Linked DNA regions of Alligator mississippiensis. The protein of the gene in region 4 purifies or fractionates together with the protein of the main gene of each other region. This does not show direct contact. Links are inferred from orthologs where the notes say so. Each region holds a gene or a part of one and is shown on either strand. Other genes may lie near its edges. The genes, in order: AKAP9, AKAP11, VAPA and PRKACA.

Region 1 (7,730 bases), on a different chromosome or scaffold from region 4:
GTTCTTAACATCTCTTTTTTTGTTAGCTACCTTACATTTTCCATTGTGTCCTGTTTTACACTGCTATTTACTGTCCTGTTCCATCTGCTATTTAACTGCAGTGCCTGCTTCTCTTCTAGACACCCTAGGAAGGGTACTGTGATACCCAAGTCTACAATCTATCCTAACCATGCAGTTGGTTCAATAAGAGGTGTGCTGCCCTCCTTTTAAAGAGATAACACTTAATCATTCAATTTTCCCTCCTAAATCTTGCAAGTTAATGCTAATACAGTAGTGTGTGTATGGGGATGGGAAGAGAACCTTTGCAATTTTATAGGAACAGAAGAGCGCATCTCTTGCTTTAATTATAGAGTGGAAATTCATATAACTTCATACTAAGTCAGCTGGTCTGTAGGTTTACAACTCAGTTAGCCATTTAGCCACTTAAAGTTTGATCTGTAGAAATATTTTTATTCCCAGATGAAAGACGATCAGTACTGGCTAATTTAAGACACTGCTTGATTAAGGGTCAACCCTCAGTTCATCAATATTTAATAATCCTGGTTCATTTACTAGTCTTTCTTGAGTACACGCCGTAGACAAATGAGTAAATTGCTTTAAACTTTTAGCATAAAAACAAATTTTAAAATCTAGATCCGAGATTCCCTGACCAACGTAAGTAAATGTAAATCAGCACTTCAATCATTTATTTATTTTTAAAAACAAAGCAACAGTTATTATAAACATCATTAAAACTAACTTTGACTATCAAAGCTGACTATCCTTAAGGGGTTCTGTGCAAAGCAACAGCATTAATCTCTTTCCTTATGGACATCAGGACACACAACTTTGCCTAACAATTGATCTCTCCCTCCTCATTGCCTCCAGCCTGCCTTCTATTTGCTGGTTTGTGAAGTTTTCCCTGGTACACCTTAAAAAATTGGAATGCCAGAGGGTGGAGATGAAGTTTTACTTGCCAGCTAGAAACCAAAGGAAAATAGGATGATCTCACCTCTGCTACAGCCTGCTGTAGTCAGAGTCTGAAAGGACTTCAGGTGGAAAGTTACAATTGTGGAGTGTATCCTTGCTCAGTTGCACGAATGAATCGCAGAAGTTCTAGAATTTCAAGGAACTAGATCAGAGGTCAGCCTTTTAGCAGTGTCTGGTTGAATTAACAGAGCTTAGTCAAAAGGTGTTTTTTGGATCTAGCTGCTGTCGTGTGCGACCAATTATTCTACTGCTGAATGCTGCCAATTCCTCCTACCACTATCCCAGCTTTATTGGCTAGATACAGTCTCTTTATGGGCTGTATTGGGTCCAGGGGCCATCAATTGCTAACCCCTGAACTAAACAGATACATTTGTCACTGAAGCCTAAAGCTAAATGCCGAGATACTGTGATGACTTACCAGAGACAGATAGCTTAATACCAGGCTATAGTTTGTGAATCCAACTATACATGGGTTGTATAGTAAATAAAATATTGAAGGAAAAAGATCCTAAATGAACTACACGACTGTTTCAGAACCGACTGCCTTGTAAGACTATGCCCCCCCTGCAAATCAGAACGTTTTCCTGCCATCCAATATGACAACTCTCCTATTTTAGGTTTGCGCTGAAAAATGTGAGTGTACACATATAAATGAATGTATCAGTCAGTTAGCAGCATGCTAGCTCCCTGCCTCTGATGGATGCAGTCCCACCCTTCTATTGTTACACTGAGATGTGCTGTACAAAGCCTACACCTAAAAGAATAGACTGAACAGAATTGTGAATGATATCATATAAAAATAAGATATTTGAGAACAGACTATCCCTAAAACACTATTTGATCAAGGCCTGCTTCTGTTGAAAAACTAGTGGAGGTTTTACAGTGAAATTCAGTGAGCAGGATAGACACCCAGCATTAGATTGTTGCAGTAACTATAAAAATGATTTCCATTTTGGCATGAGAATAAACACGGAATAAGAGGTTAACTTGACAAATACCTTACCTCATCCCTTGCCAGTCTGCTACACCAGTTCTGTTTCCTCACCCCTTTCAGTCCCTTACTATCTGCTCCACAGCTCAGCAGAGCATTACTTTGCACTGATGTATATACTGATCCCAGAATGCTGTGGGCTACTGTCACCATGGTTGCAGTAGGGAAGCATTTTAAGTAATATGTGTAAAGTTTGTTATTTCAGAAGCCTAATAAGATAACTGCTAGATAGATTAATAAGGCCAAATTCAGTCCTGGTGTACATAGGTGCAAGGCCTTTGAAATCTCAGGCAGTATTTGACTTATTGACCATAGAATATTCTATTTAAAATGATAAACATTTCTTCTGCACATACTCTCTTCCTCCAAATTTTTATTGAAGTACAATTTCTGACAGGATTAATACTAGAGGCTTGATTGTTAAAGTCTGCTAGGGAAGCCGAGTGGCTAGGACATGAGATAGTTTGAAGAGCGAAAACTGAGCATTCTACCCCCCTTGAATAAGATGACAAGGTTTGTTTAAAAACATACATTGTGGCTTGTGATTAATATAGTGGTTGATCAAGGTCTCCTAACCACATTTTTATTTTTATCTGTTTACATATTTTGTTTAGTCAATTAACAATCTAAGCCTATGAAACAGTTTGGACTGGAAGGAAGGAAACATAACATTTTAATTTTTGGGAAGTCACAAAAGTGTGTTGATGCTTCTACATTAGTTGTAAATTAACACCATTCTTACAAGCTATATCCAACAAAAGCACTATACTACTCCTTCCTGCATATGACTCTTTTTATTTATTATTGTTATTAAATATTCACAGTGTTCTGTAAATCAAGATAAGTTTTATTGAATGTTTTTATAGACTGTTGCAGTCTGCATCTGAACATGTGCCGCCCCCCCCCCCCCATTCTATGCATGCATTCATTCAATACATATATACAAGCATACTCATTCACAAACCTTAAAGGTGCATGTGTGAACTTAAAATAAATGCTTTTCACATTTTCTGAACACCCACCATGTTTCTCTTTAGTTTAAAAGGGATTAAAAGAATCACTAACTCATACAATTAGAGAAGCACAGACCTCTTGTAAAACTGCAATAATACATACCCCCTGAAGAGGAGTGTCTTTGTATTCTGAATCCTGGAGTTGTGCAGCTTATAGTTTGACAGATTGTAAGCGCCACATATCTTTTTTTGGACATTTTTCATTATTATATCTTATCCTTCAATTATAGTGGCAAATATTGTTGGTATGAGCTGGTTGTTGCTTTACTATAAATACTGTAGTTGAAAAGAGGCATAAGGTCTGCAGCTGAACAAGTTTAGTGAGATGAATAATTTATTCTGGAGGCATAATATATTAGGCAAGGTAATTTAAGCAAGCCTGAAAGGAATACAAGTAATTAATTAATTATCTCTAGAGCACCTGATTGACATTTGCTAATTCAGCTAAGTGCTGAAGATCAATTTCTATAGCAAATCATTTGACGTATTCAGAGATATTACAGGAAACTTATATTTTACTCTGAGTTATGCATAATTGTCCCAGTTTCCTTTAAGTTTTTAGAATACTATTCATTTATGCTTGTTGTACGTACTTGATTTCTGAAAAAGCAATATTATTTTCCTCCTATCTTTTGTATGTATGTAATTATTAATTTTATTTATTTTTATTAATTTTAAATAGAATATGAAACTTTGATGAATAATATGAAAGTTCTTATAACCTTTAAGGCAATGTCCATGTGTTTTCCGTAGGTTTGGGGAATGAAATTAGTTTACCAGAGTAGGTACCAACCAGTTCCCACTGCCTCCCTTCAGATATCTGCAGATTATATTTCACAGTAGATTAGAATTTCTACATTTGAATGTGTAAAGAGGAACTCCAGGGATCAGAAAGGATGCCACAACTGAGAAATCTGGAAAAACGTGTGCCTAGAATGGAGATTCTTTTACTGAATTTTGCAGTTGCTAATAAGCCCAAGTTATTTAAGTCTTAAGATGTCCCAAAATATCTTGTAGAAGTTAATTACTTTCATAATGAGAATTAGTCCTAAAGCATTACATCACACTAAAATCCATGCATTTTAGTATTATTACCTTTATTTAAAGGATAAGGCTTGACATGCCATGCTCTATTGGTCCCAGAAGAACTTGTAAATCCAGTTAAGAACCTGAGGCTTAGCCTGGGTACTTAGTGGCTAATTTTTCCCCACCTCCTCAGGTACAGTGGGTTTCAAGTGAAGCAGAACTTGAATGGGTCAGCATCAGGCAATGTGTATATGTGTATGCAGAATTTGTAAAGAAAGTGCACATTCCTACACCCTATGAATCATCACAGAGGCTCCCCAAAGCCAGTGCCAGACAGCTATATAGGGATGGGTAGGAAAAGAGGTAGGTAGGTTAGTTAAGGGAATGGACCCATTACTGTGCATATGCATCAGATACTGTTCAGATCTAGCCACTGAAGCTACTCCACCCCTGAGTTCTGTTGTCGGACTGAGCACTAGGGACAAGATTTACCCTAATGCATTGTTAATCCTTTTAGTCCAGTAAAGGTAGGTAAAGCTTTCTTTACAATAAAATGAAAATCAATCAAGAAAAAAAAATCCTTGCCTTTTCTGAATCTCTGATTTAAGAAAATACTTGGGCCCCATTGTGAATATGATGATGACAACACTAGACACATTGTTTTTTTTTTTTACTAATTTACTTCATGACTTCGTAGACAAAGGCAATTTGATGGAGCTACATGGATGGCAATACCAGCATCTCTGCTCCTTGTTTCATGCTACCCAAGACCTTATTGACAAACATTTTAGAGACCTGTCACCACTGGTCAGAATGCTAGTGGCTTACTTCTCCATCCCATATTCTCTACAAGAGCGTTCTGGACCAATGTCAAACTTACGTAGATGGATGGAGTCTTTGCATACAACAGAGCTGTGAATCGCTGTTAACCAAAACAGGTTTGATTTTGAAACTATGGGATGGTGGGTAGGGAATTTTTATTTGTTGTTGCTAATACTTGTATTCTTTATCTGTGAAATAAAGACTTCCAATTCAGTAACCAAGGACTAGAGTCAGGTCTTTGTTTTCCAAGACAGAAATCTGATCCTCAGATCAATTTTGAACATATTTTGTGGGTAAGCAGCAGGTAAAGTCTACTTTCTGCAACAAAAAAAGGGGGGGGGAAGAAAAAAAAGAACAACGTGTAATTAAATTATCCAGTTTACATCTGATAAAGTGATATGCAAATAATAAAGATTTTCTTTTAAAGGAAGACAGGTAAAACACTTGTGAAAAAACTGATCTTTAGTCATGCATAACTGCATCAATGTGGTATCCTATGTCAGTGATACTTTTTTGCCTCTTAATTATAACACACAATACTGCAACACAAATCCTGTGTTTGTAACAGACCAACCACCACGAGCTACCAATACTGTCTCCTGCTTTATTAAGTTCTCCTAAAAACAGTCACCAGTCAGAAAACAACACAGCTCTCCTGCAAGTTACAAATCTTGATCGTTAAGTAAATCTGCTGCTACTAGAAGAGAAATTCTACTAAGCTTCCCTTGTACAGGTCTGCAGCGCATGCTTTTTTTTCGTGTCAAAAAAATAGGTGTGCACCAAAAATTCAGTTTAAATTTAGTTTCTCTTTAAAGTTATTACCCCTTGAAGTCTTAAATATTACAGTAGGTTGGGAACGCGTGCTATTCAGTTATATGCTTAATGCACTGCAGCTCCCAAAATATGACTTCAGTTTGTCTTACACTGCCATCTCCTGGTCCAGAGGCTTAGTTTGAAAAAACCAATACATCTGAATGGGAACGAAGCTCTGCTAGGTGGCAGCACCGGAATAACATGCAAGCCTTTCGAAACTGATGGTTTCTTCTGTATGAGAATTGACTCCTTCTTCCTCTGGCTTTCACCTTTACCCTGCGTCGAGGAGGAGCACCCTGCACAGGCATGGTGGGCTGGTTAGCCCCCAGAGACAGCGCAGAGGGTGGGGATCCGGCAGCACACCGAGCCTGGGGCGTTTGTGCTTTCCACGTGGCCGCAGTGAGGCGCAGCCGGGCGAGTGAAGCAGAAAGCACGTGTGCCAGGACCCGAGGGAAGCCGCGGCAGGACAAGGACAGTCGCTATCCCGGGGAAGGAGGCGCTGCTTTGCCCCCTGGCCATCGCCTGACTCGGGGAGTTGTTTGATGGGAGCTTCATGTCCCCAGACCTGCCCTCGGAGCACAGGGAAGGTGGGCTGATCAGAGAGCAACTCTTGGGATACATTGCTGCTAAGCGAGGCAGCATGAAACTAGAGGACGTGGGTTTAGAGCAATATATTTAGGCTGAATGGACTTACTAGAGCTGTTGCATATTCACTTCATTCATTAGCCTGATTTTTTTTTCTTGACTACTTTCCCCCACCCTGCATCTGTCCAGGCAATCTGAACACACGTTCTCGCTCACCCTGACCGGTGGGCAGAAAAGTTATGGTCAGGCATCATTTTAAATAGCACAAAGCTTTTAAATGAAAAATCCCTGGCCGCTTTGGAGGAATGCTGCTTCCTTTCCCTTGGCCGTATCCGTCATTTCTGACAAGTGGATAATAATGAAAAAAGAAAATACAAAAAAAAAAAAAGTATAAGCAATAAAAAGACCACTTGGTAGTAGCTGTTTAGAGCTTATTTTCCAAGTAGAAACACGTCTTTGAACTCTAGTATCATGCTTTTGCATTTAAGTCTCAATAGCACAAACTGTGAGGCATATACTTAGTTTAGACATCTGAATAATCCCTTTGATATCAACTAGTGTCATGTTAAGCAAGGGTATGACTGCAGTATCAGGATCAGGGCTATACGACCCAAGCTCTTCAGGACAGATAATGGGTCTTTGTTAGTTTGTACAGTACAATAATGCCTGCTCTGATCTGGGTGCTACTGCATTATAAAAAATAAAGAATCATTAATAACAGCTGAGCTCAAACAATTTAGTTGTATTATAACTGGATCTCCTTTATTAAACAAACCTGGAAAATTATAGTTCATGAAAAAATTGAATTTTATTTTACATACAAAACTTCCTTCCCCACTCCTAAACAGCTCTCATAGCCCCTTCATCTATTTTCTGACAAAACATACCAAGCATTTGGTACTATGAGAGAGAACTGATTATCCTAAAATATGTAACAAAGGATTAACACTGAAGCTGTTTTTTATGAAACTGCTTTGTGTAAGTATACACTTATGGATATAGTTTGATTAGTTATTTCTGATTGACATTATAAAGCCTGCACAACTGGGTACCAACAGAGTAATGTTGCTTTACCACTGCTTGGTAGTTTTAAGCGTGGGGATTGGCTGGTTGATGCATCCTATTCTACATCCTGAAGAGCCTGTTTTGGAGGGGAAACAGCAGCTATAGCAATCAAGTTGGTTTCTTCTATTGATCCCAGGAATAATGAATGATACCAGCTTTAGAAGCTGCACCTGGAATATCTCCTTTTACTTTATTTTAGTAATTTTGCATGGAAGGGATTGGTTATAAAATTAAACATACTAGAAGGAGATCTGGTTGTCTTTTGGCTGAGTCATTATCAGCAGGAATTAAGCTTGCATTTTCTGGATCTAAAAGCATTAGCTTCCACTTCCAACAACACATCACCAGTCCTGCAGCTGAAAAGCTGTAGCTGACTTAAACTTCTGTACATAGGCTAACCACAGCACAGTAGTATAGTGAAGGTGGGAAGTGGGGGATGACAGCCA
Region 2 (7,797 bases), on a different chromosome or scaffold from region 4:
AAGCAGTTTAAGCAGCCTTCATACCTTTATTAAATCATATTTTCAAACCAAAAAAAAGGCACCAGTCATTGATGAGGGTAAAGTTAAGCCAACTGCAAGTTTCAAAGAGCAACCCCTTTAGCTATAGCACTGTCTAAAGTGCAGAAAGATTTTGTTTCAATAATTAAACTGTCTGCCTGGTCATTCATTGCCAAAACAACTGAAGAAGCTGCCTAAAAGTAAATTTCAGGGAAAGACCAATCATGGAAAATCTTCATTCAGATTCTCCACCTGTCAAAAAAGTTATGTAGAGAGATCATTCAAACTCTTCTGCAATCTTAGCAAAAATGGATATCATTAAGAACCTGTGTTCTTAATGATCCTATTCTGGCAATAGAGTGGACTAGATAATTCAGTGGGCTCTCTGTCCCCAGGTTTTAATGTTTTCTTCAATGTTTCATGTGACTTTTAAATCAATCATCATGGCCAACACAGTTAAGAGCCTTGAAAAATTGTTTTCACACCCTTCCCCCCTGACCTATAAGTTGCCTCCATAGTAACCAGAAACATGGTGAAGTGTGGGAAAGCACATCACCACAGCAGAGGTTTGATGTGTTATTCACATACCGCACATCCACAAATAAGACACATAGCTTGTTTCAGGGTGGCAGAAGGAAGGGAGAGAGATTTTTCTAGTCTTATCTGCCACAGCACAGGCTTACCCAGGGCTGAATGCTCCAGTAGTTCAATCAACTCTACTCTCCTTCCCCCAGCTCCTTGGCCAAAAACTAATGCCAGTTTGGCAGCAGGTGACAGAGGATTAAACCTGCAGCTCTTGGCCCTGCAGCAGGAGGAGGAGAAAGGGATGACAGGATTGCCACCCTGCTCCATGCCACCAATGTTCAGCCTTGGGTGACCTGGTACTGAGCATAGCCCCCTACCACCACTCCTTCATCCCTTTTTTTGCCATAATAGAAATAGCCATTTTGCTATTTGAAAAGTCCATTCTGGAATGAAAATCAGTTTGTTTTTTTTTTACTTATGCCAAATGGAGGCATTTGTCTTGACTATAAATTGTCAGAGGAATAGGTGTGCTTGAATAAATGACATTTATTGTATACCTCAGTTTTAAAAGGATACATTATTTTCCCCATGACAAAATTGATACCAAGAGAAATTTTTCCCCCACTGAACAGTAGATAGCCATTATACCATTATTTGTAATTGTAGATTCAGTAACTTCACCTTTTGAAATACTTTACAATGAACCTTGTAAAAATATATGCTCGTGTTGCATGTTTAAAGAAGGAGTTATTTTTGCAGATGTCATTATGCCTAGACCTGCTGGAAGATTTAAGTTCAAAGATTCTTCTCTCCAAACTGCTAACAAAAAAACCCAAGCAAACAGGAAAAAGTTTATCTTTTATTCACTGATGTATCGTCATGGAGTTGTCAAAAACACTGAATTGCAGCCTTTATTTTATACAAAAACAAAAAAGATTTTCTCAATGTGCAATTGACCAAATGTCAATACGGCTACAGAAAGAACAAACAAATACCTTAGAAAAAAACACCAACAGCAAATTAAAACATTGAATTAAATCCCTTAACACTTACACATCTTTAGTGTATAACCTGTACGTCACACCATTCTGCCATTTAAAAAGTTAGCAAGACTTTATTTCATAACAGTTTCCCCTAGAACTGCTAGCTACTTCTTCACGCTTTACTGCAATAGATAAAGGTTTTTTAGGAGGTGTTCTAGCTATATAATTACCTGATAGAGAAATAAAAATAAATTAGTTACTTGGCTTATACCTTATTCAAATGTTAAAAGCAAGCTTTTTTTGATTATGGCAAATGCCAAGTCCTCGGTTGCTGATAGCAACCAAGTCAAAATTAACATGGCTATTTTTATTTACTTTTTGATGGTGAACCATACGAACAAATATTCGTTACCCAAATTATGTTACAGAACTAGTACAGAAAGACATAAAACCACACAAAATATCTGATTTCTACCATTTTTTCCAGTTTCTCTTCACTTAATTCTTACTTTTCCCTCAACCATAATAAAAAACACACTTTCTAACCGATTGCAGAGTTATCAAATGTTTGCTTAAGATAAAGCATATGGGGATGATCCTGCTTCAGGCTGGGGGTTGGGCGACATAATCTCTGGAGATCCCTCCCAGCCTGACTCCTCTATGATGCTACGAACATGCTCAGAAACACGGCAGATTTATCATCTCAAATTCTCAGAGGCCTTGAAAACATGATCACAGCAGAACAGAAACAGTCCATGCCTTTTCTCCTTCGACTAAAGGATGCCAACTGCACAGGTGAACACAACATGGAAAACATGCGCTTGGCATCCCTGAAACAAAAGCATAATAATTGCACACGGACAAAGGTATCACTTAGTCTAAACCCTTTTTTCTTTTGCCTGGAGTAACATTTTCCACAGAAAACAAAAACAAAACAAGACACCGTTTTGAAACTTTAAAGAGTGGCAATGTCTCAAGCTAATCATTGGGGCACCGGATGACACCTGTCTTCTTCCTCTGAGGGGTCGGACCCAGTGGGAAGCTGACCCCATTTCCCCCCAGCACTGAGCAGGTTGCAGCCGATCCTACACTGGGCTCGGGAACCTGGCGAGAAACAAGGGCAGGGCGTAGGGCTGGAACAAGCCGGGTTAAAAGCTGGATCCCTCCAGCCCTATAGCCCACCCATGCTTCTCACCAGGTTCCCGCGCCTCGTTCAGGATCGGCTACAATCTGCTCAGTGCTGGGAAGAAATGAGGTCACCTTCCAACTGGGTCTGAACCCACAGAGAAAGAAAATAGCAACGTCCTGTCCCTGCCACCCCAACGATTTGCTTGAGACAAGTTTCAAAGAGACGTCTCTTTTATTTTCAGTTTTTGCTGCAAAATATGACTCGGGGCAACAACAAAAAAGAGAGGGCTCGGACCCAGCGGTACCTCCATCCACGTGCGAGGTCGATGCTCCGGCTGCAGGACACCGCGCAGGGGGACGCTTGGAAAACCGGGGCCGGGGGTAGGTCCAAGAGCCCCAGCGCCGCCGGGGCCGGGAGCGAGGTGGGGGGAGGACAATGCGGCTCTCGGCCGCCGCCCCCCCCGGGTCACAGACCAGGCGCACAGGAAGGGGCGCGGGCCCCGCCCCTACCTGGCTCCTCAGCCTCGGCCGCCCGCAGCCATGTCCTGTCTAGTCCCGTCGTCACCGCCGCCGCCCCGCCTCTCGCGAGGTTTGGCCGGGCGTACAGCCCCGGGGAGGACCACGTGCTCGTTTCCCTTGCCGCCTATTGGCTGGAGAATGGTGGGGCGGGGCGAAGCCCGGAGGGATCCACCGCGAGATGGGGCAGCGGCCCGCCCCCTGCGGGTGACGTAACGCGAGGGCCTCCAGCACCCCAGGACACCCTGCGCCCGCCCCTCCCCCCGCCGCTGCGCCACGTGCCCAGGGCCCGCCCCCTGCCCCGGGGGGCAGGTCCTTGCCCCAGCGAAGGTCTGATTGCCGGAGTGCGGGGGGAGAGATGCTATGGCACCCTGTTTGATTCGTGCTCCACCCAGTGCTAAAAACCAAGCTGCGGAGAGCGGCAGGCGTGTTGGGGTAAAGGACATGGACGGACAAGGGCCTTTGGCTGGATGTGATCTTTTGAGACCAGTCTGTGGTAGGGGTACCACCACTGGTACGCAGACAACCTATCCCGCTTAACAGATTTGTTATAATTATTTTATATGACAACAGTTTGCTGGTGGTACTTAAGATTGCATCATTTTAAACTGGTGGTGTGCAACCAGTCAGAGTTTGGGAATTGCTGTATTAGACCAACTAAATAGTTGGGGAAATTATTCTTTGCAAGTTATCATACAAATTTAGGGCTGGAAGGGACCTCAAGAGGTCTCGTGCATCCCCCTGCTCAAAGCAGGACCATCCCCAACTAGATCGTCCCAGCCAAAGCTTTGTCTAGCCAGCTCTTAAATACCTCCAATAAATGGAGTTTCCCCCACCTCTCTGGGTAACCTGTTCCAGTGTTTTACTACCCTTCTAGTGAGAAAATTCTTCCTCATATCTAACCCAAACTTCCATTCCTGCAACTTGAGACCATTGCTCCTTGTTCTGTTATCTGTCACCACTGAGAACAGTCTCCTGCCATCCTCTTTCAAACCTCCCTTCAGGTAGCTGAAGGCTGCAATTAAATCCCACTTCAAGTCTTCTCCAGACTAAATAAGCCCAGTTCCCTCAGCCTCTCCTCAGAAGTCACATGCTCCAGTCCCCATCACCATTGTTGTTGTCCTCCACTGGACTCCCCAATTTGTCCACATTCTTTCTGTAGTGAGGGGCTCAAACCTAACACAGTACTCCAGATGTGGCCTCACCCGTGCTGAATAGAGGGGAATAATCACTTCCCTTTGACCTGCTAGCAACTCTTACCAATACAAGCCATTAGCCTTCTTGGCAACAGGGGCACACTGCTGGCTCCTATTCAGCTTATTGTCCACTGTAACCCCCAGGTCCTTTTCTGCAGAGTTATTGGGAACAAATATCTTTCTTTATGCCCAGAAGCTTGCAAAGAATGTTTTTTCCAACTTAGTTGATCTAATAAAAGATACTACATCTACCCAAAAACCTTTGTCTGTCTGTGACATTGGCAGCAGGCAGCAGCTGAGGGGGAGTCACCTGACTTTATGGCTCATTATAATACACCTGATTCCTTCGACTCTGCCTTCTAGATGCATTAACTACCCTCTGTCTTATTTTTTAATGCTCTTGATGTCTCGGTAATCAAGCTGCTGCTTCTGCCACTAGGGTGACCACCCGTCCCCTAATTGGGCAGGACAGTCCCAGAATGGGATCATCATAGTCCCGGCCCCAGGCTGCACGACTCCAAGTCGCTGTTTGTCCCAGATTTGCAGCAGTGTCTCGGGATCCAGGTTTCTCCTTGCAGCTTGGCAGTGTTCCAGCTTGCAAGGGGCTGCTGGGAACAGGGTGCAGGGGGCGCCACGCACACCTGCACATGGACAGGAAACAGCCAGCCAGTGTGAGGAGCAACTCTCTGCAGGTAAGTATATGGGATTGGGGGGCGGCAGATCGAGGCGCCCATGGTGAGGGAGAGAGTGGGGCTTGGGACACTGCCCAGCCAGGGTGGTGCATGGGGCCCCTGGGCTGGAGCAGAGCCACAGGCGGCTCATCCAGGGGGAATGGGGGAGGGTATGCATTCCTTGAGGGGAGCATGGTGTGGGGATATACCTCCCAGATTTGTGCATGGGGCAGATGCTGCCCACAGCAGGTTCAGGGCTCCCCCCTGCTGCCCTTCCCCTGGGAGCCCCATGACACCATGGCAGCAACCAGGGTGGCAATAGTATGCAGTTGTTCCTCCCATTGCTGCTAGGTGGGCAGGGGATGTATGGCCAGTGCAGGGCTCCTAGGGAAAGGGTAGAAGGCTTGGGAGCCCCAAGGCCACAGCGGGCAGCCCACCCCTGCCCCGCTCACCTCTAGTCCAGCCATGCCTCCAGCAGGGGCAGGGGACAGGGTTGAGGGCATGTTTTCCACCTTCCAATTTGGAAAAGGCGGTCACTCAGTCTGCCACTGGGCTGTCTGATCATTGCTTCTCTCAGTGCAGATACTATTACACCATTTTTAACTCTAGTAAAAAACAGTAACTGAGGTGTGGCTATAACTTTCCATGAAGCACTGGATGCCTGGTTCAAGATGCTCAAGAAAGCTAGGTTGCATTTTAGGAATCTGGGGAAAAAAATCATAACATGATCATAAAACAAGTAGGGAGTAAGCTGAAAATTAACCAAAAAGAAGTTCTGTCTCACACAAGGTGCAATTAAAGTGTGGAACTCATTGCTAGCAGATGTTGTGGAAGCTGACTGTTTAGCCAGATTCAAAAAGAGGATTGAACAAATCCTTGGAGGAAACGGGCATCGGTAGCTATTGAGGACAGGAGTTAAGGATACAGCCTCTGAATTATGTCTCTAGTGGGTTATGGAATAGAGAAAATCCCACACAATTTACTGATTCGTTTTGATGCACTGGCTGGGGGAGTAGTTAGTTGATTGCACGATTTCACAATGATTACACACTTAATTCATACAACACAATTTTATTTTTAAATTCTTTGCTACGCATATAACACTGCTTAGCTTTAAGAAATACCACAAACATTAAGAACACAATAATTACATATATCAGAAACAATGCTCCGAATGCACTGCCTTCCCAAACAATGCTATAAGAATTAGTATTACAAAAACAACTACAATTACAATTAAAAGTTAAATTTGAATCAATACTATTATTTTTCATAATATACTTACAATCCTAGAATTCCAAGAAGCCAAACACCTAAATATGGTTTCATTCCTCAGCAATACGATTCAATGGGCTGGCCTCAGCAGTGATAGGACTAAGTCCCCTTCCTTCAGTCCCTTTCAGGTGCTCTGCGGCTTCAGCGTGAACTAAGAGATTCATGTTCACGGAGAGGGTGGTTCAGGTGATCAGTCTGATCCGGCCTACACTTGCGATTCTTCCTTCGTTGTTCTACAAGTATAGTGACCTCCAATTTGGGAGAGTAATTTACAGTTTTTATTGAGTGAGTTACCGTCTTGGGCTCCTCCTATTCAAACCTGTCATTACCCCCAAATTCGGGCTCGGATCTTACTCAACAGATTCTTTTGCTTAGTAATTAATTTCTTTTGTTGATCATTTTAATTACTTTTGGGGAACTTCCATATCACTGCAAGTGACCTTTTCTTACCAATCTGGTCAAAAGGCTCTAGGGTTTGATCTCTCGGAACTCAGGATATTTGCTTAAGGGTCAATTTTCAGGTTCTCTTTGTTAAAGACTTGTAAAGATAAAATTCAAGAGTTAAAACTTTAAGCAAAGTCTGGATCTTCCACATGTAGTCCAAAACAATGACCTAGATAAGGAGATAAATCTTATCTTCTTCCTGAAACTGGCTAATGGGCAACCATTACAAACATTCAAACTATTTCATTCAATATGACAAATTAGAACTTACTATACCTTAAATGTTGAAGGCTGCAAATTAGAGAAGAACAACGGTGGGGGTGGGGAGCCTTGGTCATACCCAGCCTACTCTCTTTCAGCCTCCACTCTCTGCCTGTGTGACACTGGGAGACTGGGCAACACGGACCTATGGTCTTACCAGTTAATGGCATTTGTTATGTTTTAGATGTACATTCAGTTCTAAGAACTACAGGCTTAGAGGAGCAACATGTTTTAATTATTCTTCTTAGTTACATTTTTTTTAAATACATGTTGTATGCTATAGCAAATGAACGCATGTTCCAGTAGAGTTATATTTGTATTTGCTTTGATCTTAACTGAATAATATAGCTCTAGGCCCTTAGCATATTAGGGTAAAGTTTCTCATTTCTATTAATCTGAAGAAAAATAAGTGCTGGTTGTATATAATAAAGGGACCACACCACATACACCCTCCTTTTTAAAATTGTAGATCCACCGATGGATATAACCCATCTTCACAAGCGACAGACTGCTTACTACCCATTTACATGAACCATGGGGCCCAGCCACAGCTGACGCACATGTACTCCACCACAACTATGAACAACACCTGCCCCAATGGACCACACATGGCCCAGCCCCTAGTTCCACAGTCCATGTTCAGCCCTGCCCTGGAGTTTGTAGGCAGCTAGTTCGGATTACTGTGGCTTACATACTGGCTTAAGGTCCCAAGTGGTCTGATGGGGTTATTTAATGAGTTGCATCTTGCCTGTTCAATTACCCTGGACTCTTATTCAACTT
Region 3 (7,668 bases), on a different chromosome or scaffold from region 4:
AACATATATTTCCATATTTTTTTAATTCCAAACAAAACAGTGCATTTGCATTCATATTTTTCTCTGCAGGATTTGCAACCCAAAGAGTACATAAATTAGCTAATCTCGCTTCAATTTCCAAACTGAAAAAAACAAACTAACTTAATCCATCAAATAAATTTTTAACATCCTAAACATTTACATCTTAAGTTACTTTTTAATTTACTTCCTCTACAAAAATGGAATAGTCTTGACAGAAGAGAAGATACTTGCTAATGCTTAAAAACCCTCAAAATTAAATATGTTGAATATTCAACAGGTTACGTTAAACAGAATGTGAAGGCAAACTGAAACAGGCCATAAATGTTTCTAATAAATATTGACAAAACAACTGACTTGTCAGTGATGAACACTATATTTTGAAATAATTTTGACAGTAGAGGTAAAAACACACCTCATTGCAAGGTTTAGCTGGAGCTTACAGATAAAAAAAAAGGTCTGCCACCCAAAAAAGTAACTTAAATACAAGATATCCATTCTTTTTTCCAACTTCTGAATATAGGTGTATTCAAAACAAGTCTTTATCACTCTAAAGAGTAACACGTTGAGATCCTAAGATAGCACTAGAGAGATTTAAAAAGAAACTTGTAGTACCAATATTTAAGCAGGTGACTTTTTTTAGAAAAATGGAATATATATTTTTACCCTCAAGAGATTCATGGAGTTAAAATTACAGCTTCTTCAAATGGGTTTCACAGAACCAGAACTCCAGATAAATGTATTTTTATCACATAGTTCAGGTGAAAATAACCTATATTAAAGATAACAGATGTTCCACTTTCCAATCTAAAAGTTTTTAAAGCAAATAATGCATTTCAAAATCTACTGTAATCCTCTAGTTATACTTTCCCAAATCTCAATTTGTATACTAAATACTTTAGTGTAAAATAAGGGAAATGGCTCATTAAAGGCACTAGCATGGTTCACAAATTAAGAAACAAACACACACACTAGACCAGGCTGCAAGAGAGACAAATTTAAAGTTCTCAGCTCTGCCAGTGATACACTGAGACGATCAGGAATTCATTTCACCTTTGTATCTGGTTTTTACCATTAAGTTTAAAGAAAAAATAATTAAAATCATTTTGTAAAACATTTGGAAGGGAAAAACCATCACATAATGAACAGACGAACCTGATTAATTTTACAAACTCACAGAATTGGCTATGACTGACTATATGAAGAAAGAGAACTGGTTTTATGCCATTCAAGCACGGGGGTTTTAAGTCAGACACCTGTAATGACTACAGATACTAGAAACAATGGATTTTAATCTTATTCATGGGAATCATTCCCAAAACACAGCAATGATAATGGGATGCTTTTAGACCCTTCTGAACCAAATTTTACTAAGTCTGGGGGAAAAAAAAGGGACCAAGAGTTGAGTATGATTCAAGCTATTTGTCAGTGGTCAAAGGTACTTTGTCTCTATAAAACTCGTAAGTGGATTTCTGTTTGACATTAGTATTTTCTGGAATGCCATTAGTAATGCGATAGTACTTTGCTGAGTGAGCCACTGGAAAAATCTAGGCAAATCAGTTATAATCACAAAAACAAGAGTTTACCAAAGTTACCCAACTTTTTGACACATTAGATTTGAACCAGCACACATTTTACAGGACAATGCCTCTTTCCAATCTGAGACCACATGATTTAGAGCTTCACTCTGCCAACACCTTACAGTCAATGTTAGTTCATTAGGAAAGAAAGAGTTGTTTTCAGTATGCACACTGAGCAATGAAATCAGACAGGTATGTGCTGGGATAGCAGCATGTTGGAACAGCACACAGGTCTACGTGAACTGATGTACTGATTTTCCGCTACACATCTAAATGACTGCACACTGCTGTGCTTCAGAGCATGCGCGTGCTTTCACACGTGGCCTTCCACGAAAGCCTTCCCAAGACTTCTAAATGGAAAAAAAAATAGCTTCCACTTACAATTCGTACTTCTGCTGCTCTAGTGGTTCATGCTGAGAGTATTAATTAGCTTGCTCCTAGGCTTCATGCGTACCTGGCCGCCCAATAAGTCAAGGACAGCAAGTCTTAAACCCCCCCGCATCTGTTTCTCATCCATTAATGCTGCTTCCTTTCAACTCGGGAGGATATTCTGCATGGACAGGCCTACGCTACAACGCCGTGACCTCTGCTTTACTTTGCTTTAGCATACACCCGCCCTTTCTCACCCTGCCCTTCTCGGGTAAACCCAGCACCCAGGAATCCAGGAGACGGTGCAGCTGCGCTACAGAGCAGCCAGTCGGCATTTCTGAGCCAATTCACTTGCGAGATCTCAAAGGCAATGTTGTCACCAGATGGACGCCCAGTTCCTCCCGCCCTTTTGGGGCTGCAAAGGGGCAACTTTCCAAAATGACACTGCCCAAAATATTCCCAAAGGGCTCTTGGCGTGGGCGGGAGGGGGCATGCGTGCAGCGGACTGCTCGGGGGAAAGAAGTTTTCATCCCAGACTCTGCCCTCGACGTGGCAGCACCTCCCCCCCGGCGCCTCAAGGGAACTGCCCCCAACTCATCGCCGCCCAGGGCGATCCTCCAGCCTCAGCCTCGACCGCTCGCTGCGGCGGAGGCAGGGCCCAGAGGCGCCAGGGGAGCCCGCCCCGCCCCGCCCCGCCCCAGGGACCTGGCGGGGCTGGGCCGGGCCTAAGTAGCGCTGGCGGCCCCGCAAGATGGCGGCGGGGCCGCGTCCCGCTCTGCGCCCGCGCCGGGCTGGGCCGCGGCCCTTCCCCCACCCCGCCGCAGTCGCCACCGCCGCCCCGACCCCGGCCGCACCTTTGAATTTGAGGTCGGTGGGCGGATCGAGCACCAGGATTTGCTCGTGCTTTGCCAGGGCCGCCGCGGCCGCCATCGCGCGCGCTGCCTCGCTCGTGGCCTCGCGCCCTCACTGCGGCGGCAGTTGGCGACAGTAGGGGAGGGGTGGCGCGGCGGCGGCAGCAGCTGCGGGGGGAGGAGGTAGAAGGAGGAAGAGGGCAGTGGCGCTGACGCTGGGGCCACGGAGCCGGGCCGAGCCAAGCCGCCGCCAACGCCGCCTCGTCCCCGCTCCGTGCGCCTGCGCACGCTCCGCTCCTCTCCGCTCCCCCCGCCCTTTCCTGTCGGAACTGACTCAACGGCCCGCGTACTGCGAACCCGCGCCAGCCTCACCGCGGTGGGGGTGGAAGGGGGACACGCTGCGCATGCACCAACGAGCACGCGTGCGCGCTCTCCCCCGACCCGTGTTTGGCGTTTGACAGCGCACTCGATTGGGTCTCGTGCTGCCTCCGCCGAAGCGGCAGGGGGCGCGCGAGCTGGAAAAGAGCGAAACTCGCAAGGGAAAACTAAGGAAAGAACTGCGCATGCGCGACCTTCAAGGCGTAGGCTGCCGCACCCTCCAAGGACTGCGAGCCCCAGCATGCAATGTGCCGCCGCCGGACCGGGGGGCGCGGTGCATGCTGGGATTCGTAGTCCTTCCAGGGTCTGTACCGTGAGCAAAGCTGTTACCACTGGCGCCACTGAGCAGCCAGGCTAATCCTGGCCCTGAGCAGGGGCTGATGGAGCCCCAGGGGTGAGGGGCACGTCTCAGCCCTGTGGTGAGGGCCCAACAGTACACAGCAGCCCCTGTGGATTTGCCCCACCCTATACACCCCCTTCCAAGCTGCTGGCTCTGAAGGCCCATGTGCTGCTGCCTCCAGGCGGGGAGTGCATCACAACACCCACCACAGGCAGCCCTCCACATAGCCTACATCCCTCTGCCTGGGGAGAGGGCACTGCCTTGCTGCAGGGCCTGGAGGGACCTGTCCCAAGGGCCTCAGGCTGGGGTCACCTGTAACCTGCTAAAGGAGCTGGAGCAGAACGTGGAGATGAATGCAGACGGGGAGGCCTCTCCAAAGCCACCCTGGCCAAAAGCTCTTGTATGAGACTCAAAAAGCAAGAGCCAGCCTTTCTTCCTTTTCATTCTTCACAGCATAATGTTTCCCAGCACTGGCTGCAGTTAAGGGCTGGTGGAGGGTTTTGCATGTAAAACCCTTCCCCGCTGTCACGTACGCCAGTCATTCCTCCTCAGACCTGGTGACAGGCCTGTCTCGCCCACAAAGGGGTCATAAAATTAAATTAGTGGGTGGGAGCTTTAAAATTAACCAAAGAAAGTTGTCTGTCTCTCCAAACTGCTGCCCCATGCATCGGCAGCAGAAGTCGAGGATTAATGGGGCTTAGCCCCTCCAAACTAATTTTGTGGCGGCCAGTGACGGCAGTGTTGGGCTGTAACTCAAGCTCTACTTCTCTGTGGACAAGGAGAACTATGCGATTAACCACCAGCACTCATCTGATAATCAGTCAGAAGCTTTATTGACTACAAAAATATCCATTAAACACAGTTATATATATATTGCTCAACAAGCAGCAGCACCACAGTGCTGCCATCCCACAGTGCCCGGTGCTGCTTGGTGGGCAGCCAGGCCAGCGTCCCAAGCATTCTCAGCGCCGCGTGGCTTCACTGCTCCAGCACCACTGCCACACCCTGCTGCTGCAGCGCCACACCCTGCACCCCCACCACATGCTCCTCCACCGCCACATACAACACTAGCATGTGGTGGCCCTGCAATAGCCCTGCGTGAGAGAGGGGCAGGAGTCAGGCAGGCGTGCCCCACACTGCCCTGCACCACCCCCCTACACCCCACCCTACACTGACCCCCGCCCCCCAAAGCAGCACAGTAAAGCATCTTTTAAGCTTTACCCAACCCCTCAATTAATATTTTCTCCCATCACCTATGGCTCCATGTCCCTGCTGCCTGCCCCTTCCCTCCCCGCCCCCGCCCCCCCCCAGCCACAGATAAGTGGCAGGGTGGAAAGTCAATGGCGGGTGGTCAGGCTGTTTCTCCCTCACTTCCCCACAAGCTGTATGCTGTGGGTCTCCCCCACACACCCCACCCCGCACTGCATGGTCTTCCCCATACCTCCCCCACTGTGTAATTTCCCTTGTGCGTCCTCCATCACATGCCTTCTCCCCGCATAAGTCACCCCAGTGTGGGGCAGGCAGCTGCTGTGGCTCCCGCTTCTGCACCAGAGCCAGGGCCACACCAGCCCCCTGCCCCAAGATGTTACTTGAATCTATGACAAAGCTTTTTCCCCCATGTTGGTGGGGGGTGGGACCTCGTCTTAAAAACCTCACTTTTGGTTTTGACTAAATATAGTAATCGGTATAATCAATAAAAGTTATGTTGTCTACAGCCCTGATCCTGCAGACTTTTATCTATCTTAACTTTACATCCACCGAAAAAACAGGAACTGACACACACATTAACGTAAGCATGTGCACATATGCAGGGTAAGAATCTAAAAAGTTGTCACTACTAACACCCCAGCCTCCGTATGTTATAAGTCATCAAAAATTATCTATTACTGTTTTGCTGGGGTAGCAGACAGATCTACAAAAAAAGCTGCTTCTGACAGGTGTGTCTGGCTAATTAGAGTAAAAGTTTCTGGTTCATTTTATGTAGATCTGGAAGATTAGAGATTAATCATTTTAAAATTTAGTTAATATCCCACAAGGCAAAGAAATCGGATTTCTGTAGTAACCTTACAAATCCAGTGTACTGCAGGTATGATCTATGTTTGTATCTGAGCAGTCATATACTAGCTTAGCGTTCTTGTGTTTTATCTGAGAGACTATTCTATTTATTCCCTTTCCACTCAGAAAAAATAAACATCTATGGTATCACTGATGAAGTCCTTTGACAGCTAAGAGTTAATTATTTATAGAGTTACTGTGCAGGTGATACCAGTGAGAATCTGTTAGGTTTCAACATGCAACACATAAATTATGAATAAGTGAGAACTTAAAGATTTCTTTAAATTTTGCTTTGATGCATTGGAACGTCACGAAGAAATACATAAAGAATATTCTGTAGTTATTCTTGTTTTATAGACAACCATTAAAAATACACATAAAATTTTGACTTCATCACTCTCAATTAAATCAGCAATTTTTGTGTCCTCTGTACCTTTTACCAGGGATGATTTCATATTTTCTTCCAGATCATTCATAAAGGTATTGAAAAGCATTAGACCAAAAACAGGTCCCTTCAGAACCCCATGTTTTTGTGGTATTCCTTAATCATCCTATGGCACTAAATCAAATGTCCTCTATTAGGGTAAGTACATAAGACCAACAGAGTAACCTTCAGTAGTCAAACTTTGATTCACACAAAACAGTAATAGTTTGTCTGCCAAAACCCATTTTCCATAAATTAATAGTGATTAGCACAATACCATCAGATTTTAATTCTATTTAATTTTAATGTTATTATTAATGGCAAAAATTAATTTCAGTTGTATTTTTACTTCTGTTAGCAATGTAGAAATTAGTTTTTAATGACCTTCAAATGGCTAAATATCTATTCTAGGGATGCTTGGGATTCTTACATTTCACGCTGAGTTTCCAAGGTATTTAGAATAAATATAATTTTGCTTGTAATACTAACAGACTTGATGTGGATGTTTCTGTGATGCTAAAAAAATTGGGAACCCCAAATTCCATTTTTACTGTGTCAGTTTTTTAGAACTGAGCAAACTATTTAACTTTTCTTAAGAACTCTCAGATCGTGCGTTCTGAAAGTGTGAATCATGGGTTAGTAATTGAGTGACATAAGGTGTGACATTTATTCATCTTTTTTTCCTTTGTCTCCAATAAGAAATGACATTTTAGACCCCTTTATTTCTACTTCCTGAGGGAAAAGTCAGCTGGATGGAGTTTCCTGGATGACTCATTTGGGTTGCTAATTTAAGGTTGTGATAATAGGTTTCAGTAACACCTTAAACAATAGGCTGACCAAAAGGGCCTCTTGCCAAATGATAATTAATCTGACTTCAGTTCTATGGGAATAAAACTGGGAAAATCATTTAATGGAATGTCTCTTAAACCCAGAAAGCAGGAAATCACTTTATGAGATTATGACATTTGGTTCCTTACTCTTTATCTGGACAGTGGTAAATCAAGTAGGTTAAACTCAAGAGACATAGTCTTCAGCTCAAGACAACATCACCTCTTACATACTTTTCAGGTTTATTGTCTTGATCCTATATATCCTTTTGATAAGACTTGAATTGCTAGTGAAATCCAATCCATTCTTCCACTGTGCTATCAGGAGATACTAGATAACAAGGAAACAATGTTACTACAATTGCCTCACTTGAGTGGCTTGAAACAGCACAAGAATATTAAACAAAACCTGCTCTGCTAGAAAGGCCCACAAAGTGGCCAATGCTGATTGAGAGGACTGGAAGGATGGAAGCAGCAAATTCAACACACCTCTGAGCACCAGGAAGACCAAAAGGAACAAGACCCAAGTTAAATTTTCCAATAAAGGCACATCCTTAGCACTTTACATGTATTTATACCTTTCAGCACCTTATAGTAGGTTTGGAGGGTTGTAGTTACGATGGTCCAGTAAATACTCTAGAAAACTTGCCTGCATCTCTCCCAAACATACATTTTCATAGTAGGTAGGGTTGGAAGGGACCTGAGCAGATCCTCAAGTTCGACCCCCTACCATGGAAAGAGTACTGGGGTCAAACAACCCTGGCAAGGTGTTCATCTAGCCTCCTCTTAAAGACCCCCAGGGTAGGGGCGAGCACCACTTCTCTTG
Region 4 (8,501 bases):
GGCAGGGGGTCCCTGACTGAGCCCCAGGCTGCAGCAGCAACTGGGGCAGGAAGGACTGACAGGGCCTGGCGTCAACATGTGACATCAGCCAGGGCCTGTGACAACAGAAGCCTGGATCAAATACAGTGACCACCCCCACAACACCCGCCTCCCCTTACCATCCATGCCAGGGACCCCGGCATCCTGGGCCCTGGGGGAATTGGGGGGCGGGGGGATGCCCCAGAGGATGTTGGGATCTGGCAGGGGCTGGATGAAGACTTTGCTCCCAGCAGGGACAGCAAACATCCTCCACCACCCTGCCCTCCCAAAAGCCACAGGGCCCTGAGCCAGCCTGGGGTGGGGAGGGGGTGAGACTAGAAACCCTGCAGCTGCCAATTGTCCCCTGGGGATCCCCGCCCCCCTATACTCCTGGGTATTGCTGGTAGTGGACCTGCCTGCTTTACCTGAGAAGGGGAGAGAATCCAGGTGTCCGGGCTCCAAAACCCCTCCCTTCTCTATGCCATCCCTCCCAGAGGTGGGAGCCCAGATACCTGGGTTCCTACCTCAACCGCCTCCCCTCTCGACCTCAGGGCCTGCTCCCAGAGATGGGCAGGAAACCCAGGTGTCCAGGTTCCCAGCCCTACCCTGCTTCAATCATTACCCAGTAGGGCCCCTCCCAGTGCTAGGGACAGAACCCAGGTCTCCAGGCCTGCCACCTGCCCAATCGATCAGGACAACAAACCAAAGAATGAGCCCAGGAGTTCAGGTTCCCACCTCTGGGAGGGTTGGTGTGTGATAGGGGCTAGGTTCAAGGCAATCAGACAGCCTGCCCCCCCACCCTCCAAGAGGGACCAGCTTGAAGTACCTATTATCACCCCCAATGGCCCCATGCTATTCCCCCTCCCACCCCACACCAGCTAGACTCAGTGGTGGTTCCCCACAATCAGCTCCAAGAGAGCCAGGCAGCGCCAAAACCACCCCCTCACCCAAGCCTTCTGAAGACCACACCTGTCCCCCCCAACATAGGGATCAGTGCAGCCACCCCTGGGATAGCAGTCAGGTTACTGCCCCCACCACACCACACCCCCAGATGCAGCTGGTTTGGGGGGCAAATGGGGCCAATAGCAATGCAAGCCATAGAGAAAGCCAGCCATTTGCTTGGTGCCAAAACACAGCTCCTTCTGGGGGGTGGGTATTGGGAGAAGGGGGGCATCAGCCAACAGCAACATGACCTGGTGAACCATCACTGGAATGGCACCAAAATGCAGCTGGTGCTGGGGGGGGGGGGGGGGGGCGAGGAGGAACAGGGCAGCAACAAAGAGCAAGCAACCAGTTCACCCAGTGAAAGACTGCTCCAATGGCACAAAAATACAGCTGGTGCTGGGGGGAAACAGGGCAGAGGATGAACTGCCAACAGCAACATGACCTGGAGAACCAGCACTGGAGCAGAATAGCATTAAGATGCAGCTAGTTCCAAGATGGAGCAGCATCATAGGATGAAAGGCCAAGAGCAACACGACCTGCGACCTGCCGGGAGCTGAAATGCAGCTGGTTCTGAGACGATACAGGGCAGGGGGGAACCATCCAGCAGCAAGGGGACCCACAGACACAACCACTCAGCTAGCACCAAAATGCAGCTGGTTCTGGGGAAGGAGGTAAATGGCTAATAGCAACACGACCCAGAGAGATAGCCACCTGTTCACAGCCAAATGAAGCTGGTTCTGAGGTGGAAACAGGGGAAGGAGGTGACTGGCCAACAACATGCCTTGGACAAGCCATAGCTTGCTTGGGGCTGAAATGCAGCTGGCTCTGGGGAAGAAGCAGCAAGAGTCTGGCAACCTGAAGACCCATCCTTGCTCACAGCCAAAATGCAGCTGGTTTTGGAAGGAAACAAGGGAGGGGGTGAAGGGTAAACAGTACTAGTGCCCAGAGAACCAATCACTCACTCAGGGCTGAGATGAAGCTGGTTCTGGGGGGGAGCAGGGCAGGAGGAACAGCCACCAGCAACGTGGCTTAGGGACCTGGTGCTTGCTCACTGCCACATGAAGCTGGCTGTGGGGTGAAGGGCAGTGCTGAATGGCTGATAGCAACAAACCCTGGAGAAGCTATGGCTCACTGGGGACTGAAGAGAGACTGATTCTGGGGGCAGCAGGGCAAGGGAGAACTAGCCAACAGTAACAGATGCTGGACTAGCACCAAATGCAGCTGGTGCTGGGGGAGAAGCAGATCCGGATCTGCCCAGTCCCAGGCCTTAGCCTGGCAGGATCCACCTCCCCCCCATCCCCGAGTTTCCATTCCCTATGCCAGCCCCAGCCATGGACAGTGAAGGACAGACACCATGGCCTTGGGCCTGGAAAGAAGCAGCCCCCCTCTCCCCCAATCGATAAGCCACAGCCAGAGGGACCTGTTCAATGGGCGATGAGGCGGGAGCCACCCCCATTCCAAAGTACCCAGACAACCCTCCCACAGCCAAGAGAACCCAGGGGTCTGGGCTCCCAACCTCCCCCTGCTCTATCCACTATCCCAACCCCACTCACTTCACCAGCTGGGAAGAGAAGCCAGGCATCCCAGCTCCCAGCCTGGATGGGTTCCAAAGCCACCAAAACTCTCCTTCCCACCCAAAGCCCCCTATGGCTTGGGGGGGTGGGAGGGAAGGGCAGGCAGGGGGTTTAAAAGGGCCTGCACAACACTGGCAGGTGCCTGGCACTGCTATTTTTGCCTGGGTGCCCATGTCAGGGGCCACTGTCACAGCCTTGAGTATCCAGTGCCCCTGCACTCCCCTTCCCACCTCCCCTCCCCCAGAGCTGGAAGAGAACTCAGGTGTCGGGGCTTCCATCCCGATTGCCCTAAACTAGATCTCATTGATCTCCCGGCAACTGGGAGAAAGCCCAGGTGTCTGGCCTCCCAGCCCCCTCTCTTGCTCTAACCACTAACCCCCCAGTCCCTTTAACTGCCAGGGAGAAAACCCAGGTATCCTGGCTCCCAGGTCCCATCTTTACCTCTAACACATCAGCCCAGCCAGCCCAGCTGACAGCCAGGACTCCTGTGTTCCCCAACCCCACTCTGGGCCCGTTTGCCAGCAGCCTGCCTCAGTTTCCCACTATGTGCAGCAAGTGGGGGGGCACTGGTGATGATGCTCTTGATGGGTCCAAGCTGATGGGGCAACAACATGGCAGGAGAGGGTCATCCCCCTGACCCCTCCTCCATCATTCTGATTTACCCCCCACTGTCCCCCCATCTGCCCCATCCACAAGCCCCACTCACTCTGCTGGTTCCAGGCGGCTGCATGCTCTGTCTCAGGAACCCTCCCTGTGCTTTCAGGATCCCCAGGGTCCCCCCGTGGACCCCAGGAGAAGATGCGCCCGGCCAGGCTCTCCAGCCTCTGCAGTGCCGACATCTTGCCCCCCTTGGCCTTGCTGGGGGTGGGGCTGGGGCCAGCTACCTCTGGCCCGTGGCTCATGCTGGATCAATGGCCACTGAAATGTTGGTAGCCGCAGCCATTCCTGGACTGCCCCCTCCCCCCCCACACACCTTGACACAAAGGATTGGGGGCTCAGCTGGCAGCTACACCAGGGTCCATCCGGCCTGGCTTCACTGGAGTTGGGGGCCTGGCCTGGCACAGGGCCCTTAAGCCTGGCTTCTGGGTGCAGAGATCTTGGCACCAAGATGTCAGTCACAGGATGGCTGGCGAGTTTCACTGCTGGGGTCTCTGGTCTGGTCAGCCTCAGAGCTGCCTTGATCAGGATTTGGGCAGTTTTGGGGTCAAATTCAACAGCTGCCCTTGGCTGGGGTCTGGTCAGGTTCACGATCTGCTTGGGGGAGTCCAGTCAGTTTCACAGCCGCTGGAGTCTGGTCAGTTTCAGGATCAGCTGCTGCTTGAGGGTTCGGTCAGTTTCATGCTGCTGGCTCCTTTCCAGCCTGGGGGGGGGGGGGGGTGTCCCCTGGGTCCAGGGCTGGAGTCCAGTCAGTCTCCCAGCTGCCCCCCCTGGGGCTGGTCAGTTTCAGGTCAGTTAGGTTGCCTTGGACTGGGGTCTGGTCAGTTTCCTGGGAGTCGATCAATTTCTGCTGATCAAGGGCTGCTGGCCTCCAGTCAGGATCACAGTCAGGTTGAGGGCTGGGGTTCACGGCTGCTCCCCACTCCAGGGGTCCCCCCAGGTCCAGGATCAGCTGCTGTTTGAGGGTCCTGTCAGGTTCAGGGCTAGAGGCTCCTCCTTTGACTTCCATGGAGCAGACACGTCACAGGCATGAAATAGTCACAGGCATCAAATAGTCGCTCCAGCTGGAGGGGGCAGGGGAGCCCTGGGTGGGGGAGGGGGGGCAGGGAGGGGACAGCCCCCACAGTGAGACCCCTCCCACCTGCAGGCCCAGTGCCCTCTGGAGGCAGCTACTAGGGTTGCAAGCCAAGGGGAAGAAGTAGGGGGGTTCCTGATCAGCTCAATCCAATCACCAGCAGCAGAGAAAGGGGCAGCAGGTCCGTGAAGAGCTGCCCACACTCAGGCTGCACCCAGCTCTGGGGTGGGGCATGGTGGGGGAAGCATGGAGGCTCCTTGACCTTGGAGAGTGGAAGCCAGGGCAGGCGGGAGCAGAGGCCTTTCCGTGCCAGGAGGCAGCAGTGGGGGAGCCTCGAGGCCCCAGTGGCTGCAATCAGGGTCCCCCTGCACAAGCTGGGGGGTGGTGGGTGCGGGTAGGGGCTGTTAGCGCTTCTGTCCCCTGCAGGAGCCATGGAGGATGTGGCCTAGCAGCCGCCCCAGCAAGTGCAGCCACAGAACGACCTGCAGCCAGAACTGGAAGTCACTGTCGGTACTGGTGCCTGCCTGCGAGACCTTGCCAGGGGCTGCCTCCATGGTGCCCCCCCACTCCAAGGCTCAGCTCCACCACCCCCCAGCACAGATCACAGCACCCTCCCCTGTTGCCAGACCCCTCCCCTGGCAGCAGATCCTGTGGCCAAGCAGGCTGGGGCGGTGCCAACCGCTGGGTATTGTTGCAGGGAGGGACCCCAGGGACCAGCCTGGGGAGGAGGGCAGGCACAGCGCCAGGTGCCCTTAAAGGCATCAGCGCCTGCTGAGGTGTTAACCTTTTGGGAGCTGGCACAAGCTAGAATGACCCCCTCCTCTACCCTACCAGTGCCCCCAGCTCCAGTGGTGGGGAAGGGCAAAGCCAGGCAGAAGTCTGCAAGTCTCAAAGGGAGAGAGGGAAGGAACCCAGGAGTCCTGATGGACCCACCCACCACACTGCCCCTCCCCTATCAGAACCTTCACCCTCCCCAAGCACCACCAGACCCCCAGCGGCTCCCAGGGCCCAGGAGGGAATCCAGAGGTCCAGGGTAGATGGGCACCCCTAGCCTGGCCAACCTCATGGAGCCAAGGGCTGGCAAGAGTCTGGAGGCTGTCAGAGGGGTTCAATGCACTCCAGAAACCCCAAGCAGAGGGCGGGACTGCAGCAGAAGGGGAACCCCCCAGTCCATGCCTGTTTGAGCAGGGGGGAATATTCCTTCCTGACCCCAATGTAGTGACAGGCTGAGCCTGAGCTGCAACAAGATGTAACCAAGGCCCTCTGGGTCTGAGTTCACCCCCATCCTGGGCTACAGACAGCACTTGACACTGTTGAAGGAAGAGAGAAACACCTAAACCCCTATAAGCAGCAGGGGTGGGGAAGAATTCCTTCCTGGCCCCACATGGCTGCCAGAAGAGCCTAGAAGCCTGGTAAAAAAACAAAACAGACCCTGACTGTGGGTCTCCGATCACACCTAGCTGCCCAGGCCTCTTCTCAGCCTCCAAGGCCAGATGGGAGTCAATCAGGGGTTTCCAGCCCCCTTGGGGGGCCCAGCCCACAGGCTTAATGCCAGGTCCATCATGACCCCCGCACCTGGAAGGGAGGGTAACAGCCTATCACTGCTCCACGCTAAACTGCCTCATTACACCCACACCTGCCTTAGTTTCTCACTAGCAGATGAGGTCCCTGCCTCCCACCCCACACAGCGACACCAAGACCTCCATCATTAACCACATCACCTCAACAATGTATCCAGCCCAACCCCCTTCAGGAGGCTCCTCCCACCCACACATTCCCATGACGACCACTGCTGGGGGAGGTCGGTAAATTAAACCTGTTTGGGGCTGGGGTGGGGCCTCTGGGACCCAGGAGTCCCCTGGAGGACCCCCATCCCTTCCGCCCCCACTCACCGCCTGCCTCCATCTTGCCACTTTCTGCTGCCCTGGGGCTCGGCCTACGGTGCCCTGGTGGGGTCAATCTATTTGGGCCCAAAAGCCTACTGCTGCTGGAGGGCTGGGCTGGGTTGAGCCCTCCAGGGTGCCGTACAGGGGTTGGAGGGACAGAGGCCTCCTGGGAATGCTCCTCTGGGGAGCCTGAGTTTGGTCAATAGGCAGGGAGAGAAGCCCCTGATCTGACCCCTCTGGGGAGCTGTAGATGTGCCAAGCGAGCCTCTGGGTGCGACCCCTCCTGGATGCTGTAGCACGGCCAACAGCTAGGAATGGAAACCCAATTTGTCCCCTCCGGGGCACCACAGATTGGCCAGTGGGTAGCAGGAACCCCTAAGCATGAGCCTTCTGGGGAGCCGTAGACTGGCCAGTGATGGAAACCCCTGGATATGACCCCTCCAGGGAGCTGTAGCTTGGCCAACAGCTATGAATAGAAGCTCCTGGTTTGCCCCTTCTGGGGAGCCATAGGTTAGCCAGCAGGTGGGAATAGGAACCCATCCTGCCTGACACCTCCGAGATGCCATAGATCAGCCTGCAGGCAGGGATGGGAGCTCCCAGGCACAACCCCTCCAGGGATCTGGATTTTGGCCGACAGGTAGGGAGGGAAGCTCCTGATTTGACCCCTCTGGAAAGATGTAGACAGGCCAAGCAGGAGGCACGGTGGTGGTGTGATCCCCGTCTGAGGGCCAAACTATGGATCTCTAGAGGGGTTATTCCCAAGTCACAGTTCTCCCCCTGCGCCTCTGTACAAAACCTCAGAGGGGTCAGCCGAGCCAGGCACAGCCCTCCAGCAGATAGAGGTGCCGAGTGGGGGGTGGAAGGACAGGTGGTACTGGGCTCTGATACCCACAGGGGCAAGAAGGAACCAGGGAGGTTGGGGCAGCACTCCCCGGGCCTGCACTGAGGGGGACCAGATTGGGAGGCAGACTGCAGGGGACAAGTGCCAAGACCCCAGAACCCAGGTGATCTGAAGCCTCCCCCCCACCCCCATCCCCCTCATCAGGGGGCAGTGACCAATCAGTGCATTTTATGGATAGGATCCAGTAATAAACAGCTGCCCCCAGGCCCCTTAAAGAGACAGTGTGAGATCTGGCATCCATGCTTTTTATTCCCCCTCATACTGAACTGAAGGTGGGTTTAAAGGGGAAACAAGCTGCAGCTTTCCCATGATCTCCTGGGCCTGCCACAGCCAAAGATGAGCCTGGGACACAGGCAGCCCCACTTCCTGTCCCAACATACTTCTGTCTGGCAGGTCTCACCAGTGTCTATTCAGCAGGGCTAGAATAAGGCAGGCATCAGCTACTAAGCCTGACCACTGCCCAACCCATGGCTCCAGGGCCTCCATGTCCCCCTTTGATCTAGTCCTTGCAGCCAAGAAAGGGTTAAACCACAAAGGAGCCAAGCATCCAACTTCCTGTTTCCCATGATCCTCCCTGTGCTCACTCCCCCCCCCACAAATGCAGCTGCCTGGCTGTGATTGGAGGGAACCAGGAGTTGGGGTGGGGGTGGAGCCAGGAGGCCTAGGTTCTCCGCCCAGCAGTAGGAGGGCAGTGGAGGATGGTGGGTTAGAAGAGGTGATGAGAACCAGGACACCTGGTTCTACCTCAGCTCTGGGTGTAATGGTTAGAGCCAGGGTGTGCAAGTCAGGACATCCGGGTTCTAGCTTCCCCTATGGGGGAAATGTAGGTGATCAGCTTAGGGGAGGGAAGGCAGTAAGGATGCCTGGGTTCTCTTTCCCAACAGATGCCACAGATCCTGCCCATCCCCACCAGGGGCCCTAGATCACAGGGATGAGGGCCACAGAAGGGCAGGCTACATTAATGAGTGGGAGGAGGCATGGAGAGGAGTGTGGGCTGGAGTGGGTGCCCAGTACTTCCAGATGGGTGGGTTAGAGACATCTGTGAGCTGGGGGCGCCCCCTTCAGGCTCGTACTTGCTGTTGGCTTGGGAAGTGCTTGGCCCTGGCCTGGAGAATACGGCTGGGGGGAGGGGAGGGGTTGTGACACCATCATTGGGGCCCTGGCAGCTGCAGGGCTTTGCAGAAACCTCCCTGCCTCAGTTTCCAGAAACAAGGGGGACACCTGGGTCCCCAACACCAGCCCTAGGGGCTCTGCAGAGACAGGTCCTCCCACCGAGGGAAACTGACCAGGGTGGCAGAAGGCCCTGAATTAACAGCCCTAAATTTAAGATAAGCCTTAATGAAAGGGGGGAGAAGCTACTGGGTCTCCCCATTGTGGTGTGTATACCAGTTTATACTGGCCCAATCCAGCCCAGTGTCTCCAGCCCCACTAACCCTAAAACACCT

The links.
Region 1: the proteins of PRKACA (region 4) and AKAP9 purify together in Homo sapiens (affinity purification with mass spectrometry; 7 studies listed by BioGRID and IntAct, with this or other methods). This does not show direct contact. The link is inferred for Alligator mississippiensis from reciprocal best matches to the Homo sapiens genes PRKACA and AKAP9.
Region 2: the proteins of PRKACA (region 4) and AKAP11 purify together in Homo sapiens (affinity purification with mass spectrometry; 5 studies listed by BioGRID and IntAct, with this or other methods). This does not show direct contact. The link is inferred for Alligator mississippiensis from reciprocal best matches to the Homo sapiens genes PRKACA and AKAP11.
Region 3: the proteins of PRKACA (region 4) and VAPA purify together in Homo sapiens (affinity purification with mass spectrometry; 4 studies listed by BioGRID and IntAct, with this or other methods). This does not show direct contact. The link is inferred for Alligator mississippiensis from reciprocal best matches to the Homo sapiens genes PRKACA and VAPA.

The regions. Positions count from the first base shown.
Region 1 is NC_081828.1:176,118,758-176,126,487, forward strand, and holds the start of AKAP9 (A-kinase anchor protein 9), read right to left. Parts: upstream 3,220-7,730; 5' UTR 3,171-3,219; coding exon 3,077-3,170; intron 159-3,076; exon of another isoform or gene 1-158. UniProt on the Homo sapiens protein: Scaffolding protein that assembles several protein kinases and phosphatases on the centrosome and Golgi apparatus. Required to maintain the integrity of the Golgi apparatus. Required for microtubule nucleation at the cis-side of the Golgi apparatus.
Region 2 is NC_081824.1:408,764,715-408,772,511, reverse strand, and holds the start of AKAP11 (A-kinase anchor protein 11), read right to left. Parts: upstream 3,240-7,797; 5' UTR 3,165-3,239; exon of another isoform or gene 2,960-3,164; intron 1-2,959. UniProt on the Homo sapiens protein: Binds to type II regulatory subunits of protein kinase A and anchors/targets them.
Region 3 is NC_081826.1:95,451,052-95,458,719, reverse strand, and holds the start of VAPA (vesicle-associated membrane protein-associated protein A), read right to left. Parts: upstream 3,135-7,668; 5' UTR 2,898-3,134; coding exon 2,822-2,897; intron 1-2,821. UniProt on the Homo sapiens protein: Endoplasmic reticulum (ER)-anchored protein that mediates the formation of contact sites between the ER and endosomes via interaction with FFAT motif-containing proteins such as STARD3 or WDR44.
Region 4 is NC_081831.1:24,685,443-24,693,943, reverse strand, and holds the start of PRKACA (cAMP-dependent protein kinase catalytic subunit alpha), read right to left. Parts: upstream 3,438-8,501; 5' UTR 3,377-3,437; coding exon 3,244-3,376; intron 1-3,243.